Arabidopsis thaliana: one gene and its partner. The protein of the gene in region 1 purifies or fractionates together with the protein of each later gene. This does not show direct contact. Each region holds a gene or a part of one and is shown on either strand. Other genes may lie near its edges.

Region 1 (7,934 bases):
TTACTCAGCAAAGCATTGATGAATGCTGACTTCCCTACGTTAGCTGCACCCTGTGAAAGTATGAAGAAATAATAAATGAATATTTTCTAAACCGTCAAAGAAGTTTCTTTATAAATGCATAGCCTCTATCTCCAGTAAACGAATTTATGAATTAGTGGATCATATCGAGCAGTGTTGTGTCGAGTTTGTTGTTCTGATGGACATCCGAGAAAATTGATTTTCACTAAGCACTGCCTCTATCATTTAAAGTGTGTTAAGCTATTAAGTAAATAGTAAGAACTCGCATCAGTTAGCAATAGGTTTACAAACTAAAACTCTATTTTGTTGGTGACAAAATTACGAATGCACATACCAGAATGTAGACATCTCGTCCCTGAAACAAAAACAGGGATACAGAGGTCAGGTTACAGAAGGTAAATAAAGAGAAGGTTATATTGTCCGACACTGAGCCATAATGGAAACAAAATGTACGCTAAAGAAAACAGCTTTAAGGTGGTGCAATATATAAAAAAAACGCTACCTTTTTCTCCTTCTGGATCTCTGATGCAACTCCGCTAACTCCATCCAGGGACTTTGAACTTGTGAGATGGACACTCAAGACACTGAAAAGTTATATCACACCCAAATCAAACACTAGCTCCAGAAACATTACATCACTTTCTAGCAACAACCATAGTAGATAAGTACTTGATACCTACTTAAGCTTTTTCCTCATGGTCACTTCCACAACCCAATCCCCGATACAATTCATATCCGTTCCTTTTGGAAGAAGATCAATCTAACAATACAAAACACAATTATTTACCATAGTTAGAAAGAATTGAAGAAGTAGCCATGTTATAAAACCTTACCTTAGTTATAACAAGTATAATCGGATTAGCTCCAACTAAATCACGAACACGAGCTAAAAAGCTTCCATTAAAATCCACTATATCAACCTGCAACACAACAAGTTGACGATCTCTTGGAACATAAAACAGAAAAGAGAAGTTCATTCTAACAATATCTACTCACCAATTTAACAATCAAAGCTTTCTCATGGCGTAAATGAGAAAGTTTCTCACGAAGTTCATCAGCTGATACAAATTGTTTCCCACCTGGATAACCTCCATTACCACCAACTGCTGTAATCATATGTCCATGTGACAATAGCTGACATCTTCCACATATCATAGTTCTTAACTGGTGATGCTTCTTCTTCTACAATAAACACAGAAGAAACCATCTCTAATTCATCAATCAACTAACTCAAAATTGAGATTCTCAAGCTCGAATTCATACCAATTCATAAGTAACCAAATCGACAAATCCCGGAGAATCGACGTCGGAAGTTTGTAACGGAGCTCCGCAGCCGTAACAACATGAGACTGAGGTATCAACAACTTTCCGTGCAATAATCTCCTCTTTCTTTTTCTTCTTCTCCTTTTTGATCTCTTTCTTCACTACTTTCTGAGCTTCATGAGCTCGTTGGTTCTCCAGGAACCTTTCTCCAGGGGTTGGAGCAGCCGCCGCAAATCCATCTCGTTCCGAGAGTGAAACTGGTGGTTCTGAATTAGCTATTGATTTACAGACGATTGATGTCGTCGGATTACGGTAAATGACGGTGAGATTGGGTTCACGTCTCGTCGTTGTGTGGCGACGAGGAAGAGAAGGAAACGTTGAGAGTGTTCGTAGCGCCATTGCTGAGATTTTTCCTCACCAGCTGTTGTTTGTTGTTATGTTATCTATTAAACCCAGAGAGAGAACAAGAGAGACTCTAACTGGTACAGAGGTTTTACTCGAAAGAAGAACCTCTGGTTGATTGGAGACGGTTATATCCGCCCGGGACAAAATAACCGGAATCGAATACCCGAAATGAACCGATCCAAAATTAGGGTATAGATTAGAAATTCAGTTTCCCGCTCTTTTGCTACCAAATCTCAGAAGGCCCAATTTTAAAGAGAAAATTATGTTTTTTTATTTGGTAAATTGAAAAAAAGAAAAAAGAAAAATTCAAATTTGCTTGTAATAATCCTCTCAAAGAGAATTCAGTTAGACGATTCGTCTCTACTTCTCCTGCAACGGTTAGATTTTGAATCTACGCTCTCAATTTCGGAAGCTTGTTGTGATACTTCCGTCTGGGTTTCCATTTCTAGGGTTTATGGGGTTTAGTTTCTAAATTAGGGTAAAATTTGGGGAAGAAGAAGACAACAAAGATGCATATAAAGGAGATATGCTTGGAAGGTTTCAAATCATACGCAACGAGGACAGTAGTTCCGGGTTTTGACCCGCATTTCAACGCGATTACGGGTCTAAACGGATCCGGAAAATCCAACATCCTCGATTCCATCTGCTTCGTTCTAGGTATCACTAATCTTCAACAAGTTCGAGCTGCTAATCTACAGGAACTCGTTTACAAGCAAGGACAAGCTGGAATCACTAGAGCCACTGTTTCAGTTACCTTCGACAATTCCGAGAGAAATCGAAGTCCTTTAGGTCATGAAGATCATTCAGAGATTACAGTAACTAGACAAGTAAGTCTTATTTAAGGTTTTAGTGAAAAAAGGTTTCGTTTTTAAGTTTTGTTAAGAGTGAATTTTGTTTGTTTGTGTGTGTTTGAAGATTGTAGTTGGTGGAAAGAACAAGTATTTGATCAATGGGAAGCTTGCACAACCAAATCAAGTTCAGAATCTTTTCCATTCGGTGCAGCTTAATGTGAACAATCCTCATTTTCTGATTATGCAAGGGCGTATTACCAAAGTTTTAAACATGAAACCTATGGAGATTTTATCTATGCTTGAAGAAGCTGCTGGTACGAGAATGTATGAGAATAAGAAAGAGGCTGCGTTAAAGACGTTGGAGAAAAAGCAAACTAAGGTTGATGAGATTAATAAGCTTCTTGAGAAAGATATATTGCCAGCTTTGGAGAAGTTGAGGAGAGAAAAGTCGCAGTATATGCAGTGGGCTAATGGTAATGCGGAATTAGATCGGTTAAAGAGGTTTTGTGTCGCTTTTGAGTATGTGCAAGCGGAGAAGATTAGAGATAATTCGATACATGTTGTTGAAGAAATGAAGATAAAAATGACTGGTATTGATGAGCAGACAGATAAGACACAGGGTGAAATATCGGAACTGGAGAAACAGATTAAAGCTTTGACTCAAGCAAGGGAAGCTAGTATGGGAGGAGAAGTAAAAGCTTTGTCTGACAAAGTTGATTCATTGTCTAATGAAGTGACACGTGAATTATCCAAGCTTACTAATATGGAGGACACCCTTCAAGGCGAAGAAAAGAATGCTGAAAAGGTTACCTGACAGTTATTACCTTGGGTTGAAATTGTTACAGATTCTCAGCTATTTCTGACATTTTTTGGTGTTGCTAGATGGTTCATAATATAGAAGATTTGAAGAAATCTGTAGAAGAAAGAGCTTCTGCTCTCAACAAGTGTGACGAAGGAGCAGCAGAACTAAAACAAAAATTCCAGGAATTTTCAACCACATTGGAAGAGTGTGAAAGAGAACACCAGGTAGTTTTAATAAGTAGAAGCTTTATTTACTGAACCTATCTTGTATGTTAATTGGGTTTACATCCCTTGATAATTAGGGTATACTAGCTGGTAAGAGTAGTGGAGATGAAGAGAAATGTCTCGAAGATCAACTACGTGATGCAAAGATTTCTGTTGGAACAGCTGAAACGGAGTTGAAGCAGCTGAATACCAAAATTAGTCACTGTGAAAAGGAACTAAAAGAGAAAAAGTCTCAGTTAATGTCAAAACAAGACGAAGCTGTTGCAGTGGAAAATGAACTTGATGCTAGAAAAAATGATGTAGAAAGTGTAAAAAGGGCATTTGATTCTCTTCCATATAAAGAGGGTCAGATGGAAGCATTGGAGAAGGTTAGTATGCTTTCCCTATGATTTTTTTTCTTTCTTCTTCTGTTACATAATGAATACATCTGTGACTCAAATTTTCTTAGGATCGAGAATCAGAACTTGAAATTGGGCACAGGCTGAAAGATAAAGTGCACGAACTTTCGGCTCAATTAGCAAATGTTCAGTTTACATACCGCGATCCTGTGAAAAACTTTGATCGATCAAAGGTGAAAGGTGTGGTTGCAAAACTGATAAAAGTGAATGATAGGTCCTCAATGACAGCTTTGGAGGTAAGTAAGTTATTATATTGTTGTTATATTATTATACTTTGTCAGATTGTTTGAGTTCTCTAAGGTGACTATTTTTTCAGGTTACTGCTGGTGGGAAGTTATTTAATGTTATTGTAGACACAGAAGATACTGGAAAACAGCTCCTTCAAAAGGGTGATCTTCGGAGAAGAGTTACAATTATTCCTCTTAACAAAATTCAGTCTCACCTAGTTCCACCTAGAGTGCAGCAAGCCACTGTTAAATTAGTATGTGGATCTTTTTTGTTCTACTGTCAAATTCAACTCTTTCTTTGTTCCTTGCTGATTTTCTGCTAATTTCTCCAGGTTGGAAAGGGTAATGCGGAATTGGCACTTTCTTTAGTTGGTTATAGTGAAGAATTAAAGGTGGGTTGGTTGCCTGCTCAAAGTACCAAGAATCTGATACATTTGCAATTTTGCATCATCTATTAGTTTATCAAATTTCTGATAACCTTATATTATGCAATGCAGACAATTAAATCCTCTCACTCATGAGCTGTGTAACTGCTGATTTTGTGTTTTAGAACATTTAGTTATGGACAGACTGATACCATGAATCCAACTATTCAATTTCATTTGACATTCTCTAACTTTTTGCAGAATGCCATGGAATATGTTTTTGGTTCCACTTTTGTTTGCAAAACTACTGATGCGGCTAAGGAAGTAAGTATTTCCTAGACATTAGAGTACCCTGTGTTTTTTGAGGTGTGTAGAGCTGTATTCTAAGCTGGTTATATAACAACCTTACTTGACATGTGTTTTCAGCTGGGCCTTTGTTATATTGTCATCACCTCAATCTTCTCTCAAAACTTGGACCGGCGATTTCCCTCTTTATATTAATGGAATATGACTCTAGCAAAATTTAATTCCTATAGTTCTCATATATGTTCATCGTTCTCAAATAAATTTTTTTTTTTGCTCAAAATTTGATTGGTTTGCAATTGTCAGACATAATTTATTTTCCGTACTATCTTCTTCCTTATATTGAGACTACTCTGTTTTCTTTAGATATTTCATTCGTTGATTTGTGTCTCAAATGGTTGTTCGGCAGGTAGCATTTAATAGGGAAATTCGGACTCCTAGTGTTACACTTGAAGGTGATGTATTTCAGCCAAGTGGTCTTCTTACTGGTGGAAGTCGCAAGTATGTCATTCTTTCTATTAGACCAGTAGATCTTCATGGCGTTCATCTTCTTGATTTCATATAGATATGGTTCAGCAAGGCCTATAACCTGACCAAAAACATTATATATTTTGTATTCCTCTGTTGCAGGGGTGGAGGTGATCTGCTAAGACAACTTCATGATCTGGCCGAGGCTGAAACAAAATTTCGAGCACATCAGAAAAGTTTGTCTGAAATTGAAGCAAACGTATATATTTCTTCAATTTTTGATATGCTATTGCTTTCCTTTTAGAAAAAGACACTTTGGCCTTTGACAACTGAATTAGGCGCCATAGAATTTCTACCGAACCATTTGAAGTAAAACCATATACATTTTCTTCAGGTTAGAATTAGATCTGGGTCATTGGGAACTCGAGGCTCATGTCTGTTCATTGGTGATCTAAAAGAAAATATAATCTTAGCTGCTGAAACTGACACTTTGAACCTTATTTAGATGTCTCATCATCTTAGATAGTCAATCAGTTTGGTTGTTTCTGGTTCAAATGAAACATGGTTTAGTTAGTGCCATTGCAGCATATTGATATACCATGTTTATTTTTCTAGGATTTATTGATAACTCAATTATGTTTGTGAAGGCTCCCACATAATGTTGTTGTCGACTCTGGGTTCCTACTGCAAGTTATATGGTTTTGCATAAACCCTACATGTTCTTCAAATTGCAGATCAAGGAGCTTCAGCCTCTTCAAACGAAGTTCACAGACATGAAAGCACAGTTGGAGCTGAAAATGTATGACATGTCCTTATTTCTAAAAAGGGCTGAACAGAACGAGCACCACAAGGTTTTATATTTTTTCTTGTCTTCGTATCTCCATTTGTCTACATCCTTGTAGCTTAAATTTCCGAATTATATTTTTTCCCTTCCTATTGGTGCTAAAAGACATATTTATAGTATCACTCCCTTTTACCAATTGTATATATAGCTTGGTGACGCAGTGAAGAAACTTGAAGAAGAGGTTGAAGAAATGAGATCCCAAATCAAAGAGAAGGAAGGTCTTTACAAAAGTTGTGCTGATACTGTCTCCACGCTGGAGAAATCCATCAAAGATCATGATAAGAACAGAGAGGGAAGACTCAAGGACTTGGAAAAGAATATTAAAACTCTAAAAGCTCGTATTCAGGCATCCTCAAAAGATCTAAAGGTATCCCAGATCTTTCAGTCAAAGATTCTTTTTCTTTGTCCTGGACCCCTGGTTTACCAACTTTTTGCCTTTTACATTTCTAAAATGGCTTCATAGCTTTTGGTCTATGTTTCTTCTTGCTCATAGGGTCATGAAAACGTAAGGGAGAGGCTTGTGATGGAGCAAGAAGCAGTGACGCAGGAACAGTCATATTTAAAGAGCCAGCTAACTTCATTGAGGACGCAAATTAGCACTCTGGCTTCAGATGTGGGCAATCAACGAGCCAAGGTACTGCAATTATTTCTATCTGTGTCTTTTAACTATAAAGAATATACGAGTAACATGTGGATGTGACCCTTCTGCAGGTGGATGCCATACAGAAGGATCATGATCAGTCTCTCTCTGAGCTCAAGTTGATACATGCAAAGATGAAGGAATGTGATACACAGATTAGTGGTTCTATTGCAGAGCAGGAAAAGTGTCTGCAGAAGATTAGTGACATGAAGCTTGACAGAAAGAAGTTAGAAAATGAGGTCTGCCCTCTTCACTTTGTTTGTCTGGAAATACATGTGTTATTTCTTGCAGCGTTCTCCCTATCTAATGACAGATGTCTTGGGTTCACTTAATTACTTTGACTTTAATATTGAAGTAGGACTGGGTGTTGGATGATAGAGGTGGATATAAGTATTAGGACTTCCTGGTAATTCGGCTTATAAAAAAATTGAAGATGTTGTATACTCATGGGAGAACATTTTACTCTGAGTAGGTGACAAGGATGGAGATGGAGCACAAGAATTGTTCAGTGAAGGTAGACAAACTTGTTGAGAAGCATACATGGATTACATCTGAGAAGCGGCTTTTTGGAAACGGAGGGACAGACTATGATTTTGAATCCCGCGATCCTCACAAAGCAAGAGAAGAACTTGAAAGACTCCAGACAGATCAATCAAGGTATGTTTCTAAGGATAGTCATAGATTTAATTTTGCAACTTATATAATATTCACTCTCATGCAATGCAATATCAATGGAATGTGCTTTATTTTTCTTTTTTGTTTCTTCTCTTTAATTAAATGAGAAATCTCTCCTCTCGTTTCCTGGCTATTCATTCTCTTATAAAGTCTAGAGAAAAGAGTGAACAAGAAGGTCACGGCTATGTTTGAGAAAGCTGAAGATGAATATAATGCTCTTATGACCAAGAAAAATATAATCGAGGTTAGTTTTGGAGGGTCTGTGCAACATAGTTTAAAAAGCTTAAAACACATTTACGAACTATGTTTTTTTTTTTTTCATTTTCTTAGACTGACAAATCAAAAATCAAGAAAGTTATTGAGGAGCTTGATGAGAAGAAAAAAGAAACACTGAAAGTTACATGGGTTAAAGTTAACCAGTGAGTTGCTTATTTAGTTTCTTTACTTAACCATGTGATTCACTTCTCTTTACGATATTTAAAGTTGGATCCTTATCGTTAGGGATTTTGGT
Region 2 (5,014 bases), on another chromosome or scaffold:
TCTTGCTCCTTTAATTTGTTAACAAGAAAAAGAAAAAATATCTCATATCTCGGATTAATACCTCACAAACCGACCGATTTATGTATTTCTGATTTGGTTTAAGTTCAGGTTCAATTTATAGAGAAGTTGGATTAAAAAATAACCAAGGCCTATGTATTAATGTTTTTTTTTGCAAGATTATGCGCTAGGTTGCATGGAAACTCGCTCCGAGGTGCGTTTCTCGTTTCCGAAACGTTTCGGAAACGGAAACTCTCCGGAAATACGAAAAACGTCACGGAAACGCGTTTCCTAAAAATCTAGGTTTAGAAACACGATGGAAACTTACGTTTCCAAAATAGAAACTCACGTTTCCGAAATAGACATACGACAAATCTTTTTTATTGACTTTAAAAATTTAATAACTAAAATTGAAAATATTAAAATTATTATTACATATAAATAATTTTGGAAGACTTTGAGTTTTAAGATCTTTCTTTTGTTAAACCAGATTTGAAAAGAGCTTTATATTATCTTTGATAAAACTAATGAAAATGTTGGTCTAAATTAACTATTTGAACTTGAACCTTTTAATTTTTATCTTTTAGAATTTTAGTTTATTTATTTAATATTGATATTTTGGACTTGTATTGTTTAAATCATTTTTTCTTTAATATAGTTTTATGTTAATGTTATATATATATATATAATGTTATATATATGTATAAATGTGTATACGTTTCCAAAACGTTTCCAATCCCTAATTTTAAGAAAAAATCGTTTCCCGTTTCCGAAACGTTTCGTATCCGCATTTCCGTTTCCGTTTTCATGCAACATAGATTATGCGAATGATTGCAATTTACAAGTAACAACTTGAGAGATGTACGTTCACTATGTCGCGAAGAATTGGTGAGGAAATCTTTCGTAATATTTTGTTATCCAATGGTATTTATCTCGATTGTAATCGTTAAATCATGAATGGATGGTTAAATATTTACCAAATAAATAAAAAGAAGAAGAATAATTAAAATTTATATATTGGTGAGCAAATATTATTATTCCGATTAAATTATACTTTTTAATTGTTGTTTTGTAAAATTGTTCAGTTCTGTTTTGTTTTGTAGTCTCTATTATCATCAGAGTTGTTTAGTTTGATCGTCGTGTGGACTCTTGACAGTCCTCATAGTCTACTAAATCTAAAACCAATGATAAATCAACTAATTAATTAAATAATCATGTCTATAAAGTATAAACTATATTTTTATGTGTTAACCCATCCAAATCTGCAAGTCCATACAAATTGACTCTAAATATATTGAAGCTGCAAAATCAGCCAAGTACAAAATTGACTCTAAGTATATTGAAGCTGCAAAATCAGCCAAGGTTACGCAATATAATCATATAGCGATCGATGCATCAGAATAATAAGTTAGAAAGCGATATCAATTGCAAAATAGTATAGAGTAGTATAAAAATATGAAAACACTCTGAAGTTGAATGCACCAAAATCTAAATGCATTGTTTTGTCTGCCAAATTGACTTCTATCTAGAAGCTTCTAGTGTGAAGCTCTGATACCACTTGTAACGTCCAAATCAAAGCTTCGAGTTACAAGTCAATTAGTAGAATGATTTATTGTTTTTGTTTCTTTTACTTATGAAAAGACTCTAAAGCAAAGCGAAGGAAGAGATGAGGAAGAAAAAGATTTGCCCAAACGGCAAACACTAAATTATTTAGATTGATGTTCTATTGTTCATATGAACAATAACGTCTATATATATGTGAATCTGATTCGATAGAATAACCTAATTACTTGGGCTTTTTTTGGGCTTATATTGATTTATCTGACAAGTCTGATCCCGGATAAAGTTCATGATTTGGTTAAGTTCGGTTCAATTTAAAGAGAAATTATATTGGGCTTTAAAACCCAGGCCCATATAAAAACGACTCACGTGGTATTATTAATAACCGGAGCCCTAGACCCGCCGTGAAATCGAGCGATTGAGAGCACTTCGCAAAATCAGAGCGACAAAAAAAAATAAAAACCAATCCTTTCGATTCCAAATTTTTTGTTACTCACTCGCACGAGTTTTATTTGGTCGTTAGTTATCTCTTTCGTTGAATAACGGTTTTAATTTAAACCGTTACTTTTTATCAATGGCGACTTCGTCACCGTCTCTGAGTAACAATGGTCTTTCCTCCGTCGTCACGCCTCCCAAAACTCTCCGTGGTCTCAATAAGCCTAAGTGTATTCAATGCGGCAATGTAGCTCGCTCCAGGTATTGCTTCTACGCATTGTTTCATCGAAGGACTTAGGTTTTTTACATCTGGGGTTTCGATTTATGGATTGTTCTTGGGTTTTTGATCTGAAAGGATTCGAATTTGTCTTGTATAGTACTTTTTCGTTTTGATTTAGGGTTCATAGGTTTGTGGGTTTGGGTTTTTATTCATGATTTGGTGATTAATCTGTTGGAGATTGTTTAAAGTTTTGAGCTTTAGTATCGAAAGATCAGTTTTTTGAGATTATTGGTGAAGTAATTGTAATTGTATTGCTTGGATTTGATAAATGCAGGTGCCCTTTTCAATCTTGTAAGGGTTGTTGTTCAAGAGCAGAGAATCCCTGCCCGATTCACGGTATGTTTGCCCTGTCAAATCTCAACTTCATAATTAGCTAAAGTGATCAGTTTTAGAGTTTAGTGTTGATAACTTTGATTGGAGAGTTCTATTCTTTCACTTGGTAAGTTTAGAGTTTAGTATTCTTGACTTCTATAGGGTTCGTTTGGTTGTCTCGGGACAAAAAAACCTATAAAGAACCATAAGACTGATTCTTGGAATGTGCTTGTGATTAGCTGAGAGATATAGAGATGTTATCATGGACTGTTTTGTGTTTCTTCTTATGTGTTTTATTTCGCTGCAGTTCTTAAAGTAGCTTCAACGTCTGGTGAGAAGACGCAGGCGCCAAGTACTCCATCTTCAGAGCAGAAAGCAACCGAGGGCACTCCCGGGTACATATATATAAACTAATTTTCTGTTTTGTTTGTGCTTCCATGGGCAAGTGAATCTTAGATGATAAACCGGTGTTTGCTTACTAATACTTTGATAGGAGATTCTTCAGCTTTCTTGTTTTATTGCACGTAGTTGATAGTGAGATGATATATTGGTCTTGTGGAACTAAAATATGGCGCTTTATGTTGACGTTTTCTTCTTTTGGAAATTGTTTCAGGAGTACCACTAGAGTTTCGTCAATCCGGCAACTTTCTAGCAACTTTGCTCAGTTTAATAACCTGAATGCTTCTTCCCGCCAGAGAAAACCTTTGACGATAAAGGTATACTAATTAAGACGTCTTTCATTGACTTTAGTACTCTATGAAAAATCTCCATTTAGTTGTTTTCCTCTTATCAGTTTTTGTTCTGTCTATATTCTATAGGATGCTCAAGCTTTAAACGAGTGGCGGTTTACAAAGCTAAAAGAGTACAGAGACAGAAACATTGAAGTAGAAAATGAAGCTTTTGATCGGTACATGAGTAATGTGAATTTACTCGAAGAAGCATTTTCATTTACATCTGTTCCTGATGAAGAGAGTCATGGAACAGCAGCTCCTGAGCAAAACAAAGAGGAAAATATTGTTTCAGAGCTTAAACTGAGGCTGAGATCGAACTCTGCAAGAACAGAGAGCTTTAAGAAGCGGATCGCGGAGACAGTCAAAGCCGGTTTGGTGAAGCTTAAGAGACTGGATTTAGGCAGTTCTTCAGATGATCAAGATGATATCAAAAGGCGGGTCAAAAGAAAGAAATGGGAAGAGAAAGGTTCAGCTTTGAATGAAATAATCGATAAACTGAACAAAGCAAGAACCGAAGAGGATCTCAAATCTTGCTTAGAGATGAAATCAAAGCTCTGTGGTCAAGTTTCTCCCACTGCTGCTTCCGAGAAGAACAAGATCTTTCCGGGTGTAGTCCGAAAAGTTGAGATGAGTGAAGAAGCACTTCAAAAAATCGCTGAGAATCTCCAATCTTTTGACAAAGTTGGAATGTTGTGAAGTCGAGAACATCCTGTGGATGAACTGAAAAGTTTGAGTGGCAAGAAAATTTCTAGATCCTTCGTGACCACGGTATTGTACAATGATCAAACATCCCTCAAAACTGATCCTGAAGACTCCAAAGACTCAAGAGATTCTTGTAAAGTAGTGTTGAGCATCATTTAGATATTAGAACTCAGCCATGGATAAAGCTGTTGATTCTATCTCATTGGATTTTTTTCACTGTGTGTTGTTGCTTTGTTAGATTTGAAATTGCTCATTGGATTACCTTTGACTTAATAAATAGTTGGTTTGGTTTGGTATTGGATAACCGCTCAGTCTAATTAGACCGGTTTGTTTTTTTGGAAAAAAATGAATCCATCCATCCATAGGCCACTTTCAACACGTATATTTGAAAACGACTAAAACCAAACTCTTAGATTCTAGTTTTGTTTTGCTGCCCCAATTCCACTATTGATCAAAACATATCCAAAAGTTTTTGTGGAACTAAAAAGTAAAAATAACGTTTAGTTTGTTTCCAATTTCAACCATATATATCTTATTCATATATGCATGTTGTGGTTGTCTCGTGTGTGTAGTATTCATTTACATTATGCAAACCAACTGGAAACATGTTGAATGGGTTATGGGTTGGTGGTTGGGACTTGAGGATCAAACAACTCAAATGAGCTCATTATAAGTTAAGCTCTCAATAATCATTAATTTATTTTTGTTACCACCTAATATTTCTACGAAGGGTTGGTGTAACAATTTTTAATTGTAAGATAATTGTGTAATCATTTTCAATATTAATTTTTATTATGTATTTATTTTAAAAAGTTATATAATACGTAACACATTTAGTACTTGGTTTTGGTAGCTTCATCAATGTACCATCCGAAGTTCCAAAAAATAAAAAAAAATGTCGATTTCACCGTTGGTGAAAAAGAAACTAAATTGATATGTATTATTCATTTTTTAGAAGAGATTATGGGTTTAAATCTGAAACTTCTTAGTTAAATTT

Evidence for each region.
Region 2: the proteins of ATSMC2 (region 1) and AT1G32730 fractionate together in Arabidopsis thaliana (co-fractionation; one large-scale study listed by BioGRID). This does not show direct contact.

The regions. Positions count from the first base shown.
Region 1 is NC_003074.8:17,484,570-17,492,503, forward strand, and holds the start of ATSMC2 (Structural maintenance of chromosomes (SMC) family protein), read left to right. Parts: upstream 1-1,920; 5' UTR 1,921-2,195; coding exon 2,196-2,513; intron 2,514-2,601; coding exon 2,602-3,282; intron 3,283-3,359; coding exon 3,360-3,503; intron 3,504-3,580; coding exon 3,581-3,871; intron 3,872-3,951; coding exon 3,952-4,137; intron 4,138-4,217; coding exon 4,218-4,382; intron 4,383-4,460; coding exon 4,461-4,520; intron 4,521-4,754; coding exon 4,755-4,817; intron 4,818-5,205; coding exon 5,206-5,297; intron 5,298-5,426; coding exon 5,427-5,523; intron 5,524-5,998; coding exon 5,999-6,115; intron 6,116-6,256; coding exon 6,257-6,475; intron 6,476-6,601; coding exon 6,602-6,742; intron 6,743-6,819; coding exon 6,820-6,987; intron 6,988-7,220; coding exon 7,221-7,405; intron 7,406-7,573; coding exon 7,574-7,667; intron 7,668-7,753; coding exon 7,754-7,842; intron 7,843-7,924; coding exon 7,925-7,934. Other genes in the region: NOA1 (P-loop containing nucleoside triphosphate hydrolases superfamily protein), read right to left, coding at 5-50, 353-373, 521-602, 699-778, 852-938, 1,015-1,200, 1,282-1,680.
Region 2 is NC_003070.9:11,838,946-11,843,959, forward strand, and holds AT1G32730 (electron carrier/iron ion-binding protein), read left to right. Parts: upstream 1-1,964; 5' UTR 1,965-2,131; coding exon 2,132-2,253; intron 2,254-2,546; coding exon 2,547-2,608; intron 2,609-2,891; coding exon 2,892-2,979; intron 2,980-3,197; coding exon 3,198-3,300; intron 3,301-3,402; coding exon 3,403-4,011; 3' UTR 4,012-4,363; downstream 4,364-5,014.